2 linked regions of the Danio rerio genome follow. The protein of the gene in region 1 interacts with the protein of each later gene in a biochemical or structural test. Links are inferred from orthologs where the notes say so. Each region holds a gene or a part of one and is shown in the gene's direction. Other genes may lie near its edges.

Region 1 (5,203 bases):
TTCTGTGATTAACGAGGGACCACTGTATTGAGAAAAAAGACTTCTAATATTAATTTGCGCTGGTTAGTAAGTAGCATATTAAAATTTCTTTGTGAAATTTTTTCAAAAAAGGTTACCGGTAGCCCTTAAGCAACAAACATTTAAGTATTTTTTTTAGGTTTAGGAGTATTATAAACAGAAAATATAAGTATAAAATGAACAGAAATCATCGTGACGAAGACTATTTATTTAATATCTAACCTAAGTTTATTTATAAATCTAGTTGTGGGGTGTGCATTATACAGATACTCATATGCCTTTCATTTAGTAGTGATGTTGATGCCATTATATAATTCTCTTTGCATTATAAGTCTCTGTACATTTTAGATGAAGTGAAATACAATGTAATGTAGGGCTGCACGATATTAGAAAAAATCTGATATTGCAATATTTTATTGTTCTGCAATAAATAAGAGATAAAAGACAGTTTGAATAGTGCTGTTTGACGATTTGTATTCAGGTAGAGAAATTGAATAATTATAATGCAAAAAAAAAAAAGCTTACCTTTTGTCTTGTTTATGATCCAAATATCAAACAAATTATTTAGACAAAGTAAAATATTGTTTTGTTTTCACCGTCAGAAGACATAAATGTAAGTTTAAGAGTAAATGATCTGCCAGTGGGGCAAGTGAAATCTTGTTTTTGCTTTGAAATTGATATTTGGACTAGAAACTAACTAAAAAGTAAGAAAGGTTTTTTTTTTTCTTGCATAAATCGTATACATGCAGTGATTAAATACAATTCTGTGGCTCCTGGTCAGCTATAATTCAGACTAGACATTGCATATCTTTGCAATGTGACTATTGCAAATGCGCACATTGGGATATCGATGCTTAAATGACATATTGTGCAGCCCTAATGAAATGTTTACAGTCTAATTGTGTGCTGTTTATGTGGAAGGTGTCGAAGATGATGACAGTAAAAACGCTGATGACATCACGTTCAGCACACAGACGGGCCCTGCGTGGGCAGGATCAGAAAGAGATTACACTTATGATGAGGTAAATGGCAGAAAAGGCTGGCTTGCTGTGTGTGTGTTTCAGGTGATGAAGGCCCAGAGACTTCTGCCATCTGGTCCATTTATTGGCAGAGTATATTTTACCTGCTAACTTGTCTTTTATGAGACATACTGGAAATGACTACTGATATGCGGAGGATTTTTATTGGTTGTAGTCAGTTCGTTGTAGAAGTCAGTTCTCATTAAGATCACATGCATGTAGTTTATCATGAAAACTGTAGATGTGCTCCAGCAACCTTGGACAACCAGAATGTTGCAAAATACAATTTTAGTTTAGTTCAATAGTCATTTTTTATTTAAACTTAGACACATCTGTTGTTTTAGTGTTAAAATAAACAAACATTTTAATACAGAATAAAAGCTTGCCATGTCTAGGCATGGGCCGGTATAAGATGCTGACGGTATGATAACCTTGGATAAAAATATCACAGTTTTACGGTATTGTAATTACTGCTCTAATATATGCTCTTTTTAAATGTCTGGATAAAAAAAAAACGTTTTCCCCTTTCAAACACGATGTATTTTATTTTAAGAAACATTTAAAATATTTTGGAGCAGTAAACATGTCAGGCTATAATTTAAGTTAAATATTGACTTCAGCTGTCTTCATTTATGTCAAAAGCAGATTTTTTTTCTCACAATTTAAAACACCATCTTTGGATATCTTTTACTGCTGGAGATACTGTTGTCCTTAAAAAAAGTTTTAAAGTTTTGAGTTTTAAAACCTTTCTTTTTCAAACGGCAGTGTATAGACCCATGTCAACAGCACAACCCAAACTCTTCCAGGCCACAACTACAACTTATAGACAAGCCATATACAAATTTGGTAAAGCTTCCTACAGGGTGCCCATAGGCTCCTAAAGTTTTAAAATGTCTTTAATTTAAAAAAACAATTTAGGCCTTAAAATCTTAAATTCACTGAAATATTGTGTCATCGGTCTTAAATCATTTTAAGCAGGTCTTGATTTTCCTAGGTCCATGTAAAGCTACCCAATCGGTCCAACATCCATCACTAATAATCCATCTCAAATTTTTTTTATATACGTTTATATTGTTTTTTTAATATTTTATTTATAATGTTTTAAAAATATCTATTTTATATGTTTTTACATATATTTTTATATTTATTGCAAATAATACAATTCACAACAGCTGTTTCTCACATTTTTACAGCAAATTGTCTTAATCCGGGAAAGAAAACTAAAGCAACACATCCCTTTACATAATCTTCCATTAATACAAAAGCTATTAACAGAAGCAACTGGGCCATTAGAAAAAATCTTTAGTGTTTAACTCCGTATAAGTCCAAAATTTTATTTATAATAGTCTTAAAAATTTATTAAAAAGTCTTAAATTTGACTTTGAGAGGAAAAATAAGTGAAATCCCTCTCCCAAATATAAAAAAAATAAATCAGGGGTATGACTGACAATTCTCAAAATAAAGACACAAAAGTTGGAGTACCAACTTTTTTGTCAGCAAAGAGCAGCTCAACAAAAAACAACTACTTCATACTTTATACGCAAGTGTCCCCATACAAATTTGTTCAAAAGCTATTTTTTCAAGTATTTGGATAAATTGATCACATACTAAGTCAATAAAAATATTTGTGACAGGTGATGTGAATTATGTGACATATTTGAAAATTATTTAACTGGAGAGGAAGTGTTTGGATGAGGCGAACAGCATCTCTTAGGTAATCTAGAGTAAATGTTGTAATGTTTATGTTAGTGGGAACCCAGTATGAGACTTGAAAGTAATGAAGACTTCTTTCAGGCAGTTCAGAACTGATTCTTTCCTTTGAGCCAGTAACACCTTTAATCCTGCAGTTTGATCTTAGAAATTTTAAAGACCTTTTACATTTAGAATCCGCTTTATTAAAGCTACATGAATTGTAATATCCAAAAAAACAATGTGGGGTCACATTAAAACGGAAACTATTTTTTTTTTTTTACTGTGGATGTAACCATTTACCTAATTTATAATTAAATAAGACTGACAATACAGATCTCAAGATATGATTTTTTTCACAAAATGAATTGAGATATGAAAGGAAAAAGTGGCCTTTTATTAGTTCTGAAATACTGCACATTTCTTAGTACAATAAAAATATACACTCACCTGCCACTTCATTAGGTACACCTGCCCAACTGCTCGTTAACGCAAATTTCTAATCAGCCAATCACATGGCAGCAACTCGGCATGTTGACATGGTCAAGACAATTTGCTGCAGTTCAAACCGAGCATCAGAATGAAAAAACAAAGGTGATTAAAGTTATTTTAAATGTGCTGATCTTCTGGGGTTTTTACGCACGGCCATCTCTAGGATTTACAGAGAATGGTCTGAAAAAGAGAAAATATTCAGTAAGTGGAAGTTGTATGGGCGCAAATGCCTTGTTGATGCCAGAGGTAAGAAGAGAATGGCCAGACTGGTTTTAGCTGATAGAAAGGCAACAGTAACTCAAATAACCACTTGCCAAAGTCTACACAAGAGCGTCTCAGAACACACAACATGTCCAACCTTGAGGTGGATGGGCTACAGCAGCAGAAGACCACACTAGGTGCCACTCTGTCAGCTAAGAACAGGAAACTGAGGCTACAATTTGCACAGACTCACCAAAATTGGACAATATAAGGTTGGAAAAACGTTGCCTGGTCTGATGAGTCTCGATTTCTGCTGCAACATTCGGATGATAGAGTCAGAATTTTGCGACAACAGCTTAAAAGCATGGATCCATTCTGCCTTGTATCAACAGTTCAGGCTGGTGGTGTTGGTGGTATAATGGTTTGGGGGATTTTTTTTGGCACACTTTGGTCCCTTTAGTACCAATTGAGCATTGTCAACGCCACAGCCTACCCGAGTATTGTTGATGACCATCTCCATCCCTTATGACCACAGTCTACACATTTTATGATAGCTACTTACAGCAAGATATTGCGTCATGTCACTATCAATCCAATGGAGCACCTTAAATTATTTTAATTTCTCAGAAATTAAAACAGAGTTTGCAGCAAACATAATGGTCCCCCACTGTAGTACAATTTGTCTAACTTCACATATTTTAATTGAGTTTCAACTGGATTATGGGGAATCATTACATCCCTGTTCTTCATGTTAAGCATTTTTCCTGACACCAATACATTTGATTACTCTTGAGACTAAATAATGAGTTTATAAATAATTATAGTTTGTTAAATAATGACTGGTTGCATCAGCTCTTAAGATTAAAGGTGACTGAAAATATCACATGATTTTAGCTTTTGAACAGGGTCTTTAACATCATGAGGGAAAAGAATCCAGACATGGTCGCCGGAGAAAAGAGGAAGTTTGTGATGAAGCCTCCTCAGGTGGTGCGGGTCGGCACTAAGAAGACCTCCTTCGTAAACTTCACAGACATCTGCAAACTGTGAGTCAAGCAGACGCTGCGTTTTCTGGATTGAGTTTGTTTAGTGAATACATGGAAAATCAACCATTTCTCATAATTTTTATAGTTCATAATCCTCCAATTCTGCTTTTATTTTGACAGGTTGCATCGACAGCCAAAACATCTTTTGGCTTTTTTGTTGGCTGAGTTAGGTACAAGGTAAGTTTATTATATATTATTAATATTGGCTCTTCCCATAATTACAGAATAACTAGTTTTTAAAGATGAGAGATGCTTTTTTTTGAGAATTAAACTATTATTTAGCATGAAAATCAGCATTTCATGACAAGCCCCAGGTTTTCAGCCCTTAACATATCTGTTGAATCAACGTTCAGTGTATTCCAGTAAAAACGTTTAAATCATTATCACAAAAATGTTTTTCTAGGGAGCGACAGCTTACCTTTGTACTTCGTTCCAGGAAAGAGCTGCTTATGCTGTTCTGTCCATATATTATTATATAATCTGTAAGTGAACTGTTATTTATGGGAGCACGGCTGAAGCAGGGGTTGTTTTTCATCATTGAACAACAAACCTTGCAAAATATTGTCTCACAATCTGGCAAGCTCTTGGTTTATTTTTCCAGTGTGTCTGCGTGTCTGAAAACCTCCACCAGAACACTGCATTTTTTAGCTGAAGGCATTTCACATGATGTCAGAGAGAAACATGAATTAATTGAGAGGCATAACTGACTGTGAGGCGCTATTAAAAGTAAAGCAGACTGAT
Region 2 (5,203 bases), on another chromosome or scaffold:
TTGCAGCACGGGATGCGCATCATTCATTGGTGTACATTCTAATCATTCATGTTTCTAAAACCACAAAAGGGATCACATACTGTTGTGTGTATGCGCCCAGCCTCAGAAACGAGTAGAGCACAAACATCTAGTCATCTTAATGTGAGTGCTTTAATGGTCAAATACATGCAAATTCGTGTCAAAACGAGGTGTTTTGTGATTATTCATATTAATCCTCATTTGTGTAATAAACGAGTTGAGAATCATGTGAATTTAGACATGTGAAAGTAAAACCATAAATCAGAACCGCACTGCTCTTAAAGTGACAGCATGCAATATTCCTGCTGCCGACTGTTTTTAATATTAATCAAACAACAAAAGGAGAAAATCACTCACTGCTCTTGACTGAAGGAATTTTTAGTTATAATTTTTTTCTAATAAAAAAGTTTTTTTCTTACAGTAAAGAACGATGCTTGAGACGCAATTTGTTTAATATTTTTACTCTATTGTATTTATTTCCCTTTACTTATTTACAGGGAGAAAATTAACTGTATATATACAGTTAAAGTAGGAATTCTTAGCAGCCCTTTATATTTTTCTCCTAATTTCTGTTTAGCGGAAAGATAGATTTAATAACTCATTTCTAATAACTGATTTCTTTTATCTTTGCTATGGTGATGGCAAATAATATTTTACTAAATATTTTTCAAGATACAAGCATACAGCTCAAAGTGCAGTTCAAAGGTCTTAACTGGGTTAATTAGGCAAGTCATTGTATAACAATAGTTTCTTCTGCAGAAAATCTGAAATAGGCTTTAAAATATTTAAACCAGCTTTTATTCTGGCCAAAATAAAACAAAATACTTTTTCTAGAAAAAAAAATATTATAGGAATTACTGCGAAAAATTCATTGCTCTGTTAAACATCACTTGGGGGAAAAAAATTGATGGGCGAATAATTTTGACTTCAATTGTATATCGTTTTGAATAATCGTGATTTCAATTATGTCCAAAATAATCATGATTATGAATTTTCCCATAATCGAGCAGCCCTAATACCATCCGCATTTTACTTTTCATTTTTACAGCGAATCAGTTTGAGTAAATGCAGACAATGCAATTATTTTTATGTTTTTATTTTATTTATTGTTTTTTTAAATTACCTATAACATGTCAAGTATCACTCGCTCACTTTCCTTCTGCTTAATAATACATTTTATTTTTAATTTGCTTTTCTTAGACTTAAAGTTCTACAAGGCAAAATACCAACCATAGCAGAAACAGCACAACAATAAAAAGATGCAATAAGAATATGAACCATAAAATGTAATTAGCATTTGTTTACAGGTGATGGAAATTATTATTGTAATAAGAAAAAGTTATTATAATACTTTTTCCACTTTTCACAAGAACATTTAAAATGTAATTTTGCCTTTAACAAGATGCTTGTTATTTTCCATTTTTGACAAGGATATATGGATAAATAATTACATTTAAAATAAAGCAATCGTTCAGTAATCAAAATTGAGGTAAAATGTTTATTTAATGGATGTTTTAATTTTAGGTCATATCGCCTGGCCCTAATTTTGTAGAATGTTATAAACTGGTAGTCTTTGGCTTTCATGGTTTTCTTTTCCTACTATTGATGTCAGTGGCTAAGGATTTTCAACATTTTTTTTAAAATGTCATTGTGAAAAAACTAACAAGCAATTACAATAGAGGTTGAGTAAATGTAGATATGTTTTTGTGTCAACCACCTCTTTGTGTTTTTTTTTTTTTTTTTTTTTGTAGGGATCCAGCTATATTAGATTGTCTGGAATTGACAGAGGAGGAACGAGCAGTCCTGATTGATAACATCAACAGACGCCTCACTCCACAGGCTGTCAAAATCCGAGCAGACATTGAGGTGGCCTGCTATGGGTATGAGGGCATCGATGCAGTGAAGGAGGCTTTGAGAGCAGGACTAACATGTTCAACAGAGTGCATGCCCATCAAGGTAAAAACTAGACCACAAATTATTTCAGATATGTCAGTTCATTCATATATAACATCCCTGAAATTTGATGTCCCATATTGAGTCTCTGTATATGGACCATTCATACATGCAGTTAAAGTCTGAATTATTTGACACCTTGTTTATTTTTCCCCAATTTCTGTTTAACGGAGGGAAGATTTTTTCCAACACATTTCTAAACATAATAGTTTTAATAACTCCTTTCTAATAACTGGTTTACTTTATCTTTGCCATGATGACAGTAAATACTATTTGGCTTGATATATTTCAAGACACTTCTATACAGCTTAAAGTGACATTTAAAGGCTTAACTAGGCTAAGTAGGTTAACTAGGCAGGTTAAGGTAATTTGGTAAGTTATTGTATACCGATGGTTTTTTTGTTTAGACTATCGAAAAAATTATAGCTTAAAGGGTCTAATAATTTTGACCTCGTTTTTTTTTTTTTTTCTTAATTGCTTTTATTCTAGCCGAAATAAAACAAATAAGACTTTCTCCTGAAGAAAAAATATTATCAGACATACTGTGAAAATGTCTTTGCTCTGTTAAACATCATTTGGGAAATATAAAAAAAGAAAGAAAAAAAATCAAAGGGGGGCTAATAATTCTGACTTCAACTGTATTACATTCATGTTTAAATATTTGAACACTTTATTTATTTGTTTTGTTTTGATAAGGTGTTACACTGATAATACTGGAAGAATCATGGAGGAATAAAGAATGTAATTTGTTTTGTAGTGTGGTATTTTATATTATTATATATACTGCATGATAAGAAAACATACATAGCAAATAGTCTTTAAAAATGTGGTCATAATGACAAGATAAATCAAGTTATTAAATTACGATGTAGTAATTACACAGAAGCAAAATTCTTTCTATATCAATTTTCCTGAGTAGCACATTAATATAATATCAGTATTGTGCAATTTTTGTTTTGAACCCAAGATGTTTTATTTTGTCAATGAAGAAAGTTTAAGAAAAGGATCAATTTGTGTATCTCAGTAAACATTGCAGTATTTAGTTGTGGACTAAATCTGTTTTTACAGGGCACCTATGATCACAATCATTATTTGTAAGCTGTTTGGACAGAACCATTTGTAGGAATAGTGTGTCCACAGTCATATTGGAGTGATAGAGACACAATAATTCTTTTGTTTTAATTTTCTGACGTTATATATAGGATCCAAATCCCTCACATTTTGAGGCCGACCGTAATGTAGGAGTGCTGTTTTCCCGCCCACCGAATTGATTGACATCCGCGTTTTAACATGTCTCCTTACTAGTAACGTGTATAATCATATCCACAAGACAAGATGTGCGCAAAGCAACTGCAGTTAAAAGATCTGTTCAGCTCTGTGTTCAGCAGCACCTCAAGAAAGAATTTTACAGGATTTAAACATTTATAAAACGGTGCATGTTTGTACTAAAGACAGTACAATCACTGTGTAGTTCTTCACCACAGCCGCGTGTCAGTACAATTGCGGACCATTGATAAATCAGGAGGAAAATTAATAATGTTTTTATTGCAGATCAACTTGATTGCTCCTCCTCGATATGTTATGACCACGACCACACTGGAGCGCACAGAGGGCCTTTCTGTGCTCAATCAAGCCATGGCCGTCATTAAAGAGAAGATCGAAGAGAAGAGAGGCGTCTTCAACATTCAGATGGAGGTCAGAATTTAGCATTTAAAATTCACTGTTTACTTACCCTCAATTTATCCAAACTTTTATGATTTTTTTTAAAGAATGCAGTAAACCATGTGTATGTATGTTTTAAGTCTATTTTTTAAAATGTCTAATCCATAACGCTGGAATTGCTTAGCTTTGCACATGCTGGGCAGTTCACAGTGGAAATCTGATATTGGCCACATTTAAAACAACAAAGTGAAGAGCTATGCAAAATAAATAAATCCCTCTCTGATTATTTGACTTGTTTTAATGCCCCTGAAGCCAAAAGTTGTGACGGACACGGATGAGACGGAGCTGGCACGACAGTTGGAGCGGCTGGAGAGAGAAAATGCTGAGGTGGATGGAGATGATGATGCAGAGGAAATGGAGGCCAAGACTGAGGACTAGTCTGAAGAAAGACGACAAACCAGCAGTGCTATAATCATTCCAGAGACTTCAGAGTTATAGTGAAGGGGTTATCACATCATGAAGACTGAAAAAAAACACTGCTTCTGTGATACTAAGCAGATTGTGAGTGAGAGATGTGGACTACATTGATGTACTTTTGCTTATCGGATGAGAATCGTGAGAGGAATTTCTTCCATGAACACTAGTTTTACTTTAGGAATGTTAGTACAGATAGTATTGTAGTTGATTTAAGTGACCTTCGTTTCCAGCTTTATTCAAGATGAGATTTGTGGTAAAAAAAAACAAACAAAAAAAAAACAAGCAAAACTGAAATCTTTATAGACAGCCAGCCAGTTTACTTATCAAAAATCTGTTCCACAGAGCTAATAAAAACAAGCAGTTTTCATGTACATTTTGTCATGTCTCTTGTTCTGTGCTGCTGATTACATCAAAGATTATTCAAGATGATAACTTCTCTCACTTGGATGTATTTTTCTAAACAGGAAAGTGGTATATTGGCAGATATTGTTTCTTTTGTTACAATTTGTAACAAATTTTTAAAAATGTGTAATTTTATTATTATTATTATTATCATTATTATTATTAAGAAATAAGAATAAATGTCTGGGGGGCTCCAACTATTTTTGGTAGTATATTGTAAAACCCAACAGTCAACTTTCTGAAATTAAATGAGTGTAGTTAACTCAAACTTTGAAATTTATTTTGAAAAGAGTTTGAACTGTGTTGAAGGTAATGAGTTAATTAGATACCTCATTACTTCAACTTAAATTGAGTAAGTTAACAGTACTCATAAAGATTAGTTTTTTAACTCAAAGGTTTGAGTTGATTTAACTTGTTGGGTTTTACAGTACTGTTGGTTTAAGTTCTCTTCATTTATATTGTTTTGCTGTGCTCAAATATCTTCGTTTACTCAAATGGATTAAGTTCACAGTACTCATTAGGAATAGTTTTTGAACTTTTATGGTTTGTTGCACTCAGCTTCCTCAAATGGATTGAGTTACCTTAACTTTTTGGGTTTTACAGTGTAGTTTGGTCATACTTGCTTCAGTGAATCAGATTTATGAATGTGTTTAAATCAATGTTTTAAGGGATATTTAGTGACTTTTAGAGG

What was found. The genes of interacting proteins can lie anywhere in the genome.
Region 2: the proteins of eif2s2 (region 1) and eif2s1a form a complex in vitro, tested with the Homo sapiens proteins (2 studies listed by BioGRID and IntAct). The link is inferred for Danio rerio from reciprocal best matches to the Homo sapiens genes EIF2S2 and EIF2S1.

What each region holds. Positions count from the first base shown.
Region 1 is NC_133181.1:52,639,076-52,644,278, forward strand, and holds part of eif2s2 (eukaryotic translation initiation factor 2 subunit 2), read left to right. Parts: intron 1-939; coding exon 940-1,040; intron 1,041-4,313; coding exon 4,314-4,462; intron 4,463-4,582; coding exon 4,583-4,639; exon of another isoform or gene 4,640-5,203.
Region 2 is NC_133192.1:35,958,798-35,964,000, forward strand, and holds the end of eif2s1a (eukaryotic translation initiation factor 2 subunit 1a), read left to right. Parts: intron 1-1,769; coding exon 1,770-1,974; intron 1,975-3,522; coding exon 3,523-3,666; intron 3,667-3,945; coding exon 3,946-4,071; 3' UTR 4,072-4,481; downstream 4,482-5,203. UniProt on the Homo sapiens protein: Member of the eIF2 complex that functions in the early steps of protein synthesis by forming a ternary complex with GTP and initiator tRNA. This complex binds to a 40S ribosomal subunit, followed by mRNA binding to form a 43S pre-initiation complex (43S PIC).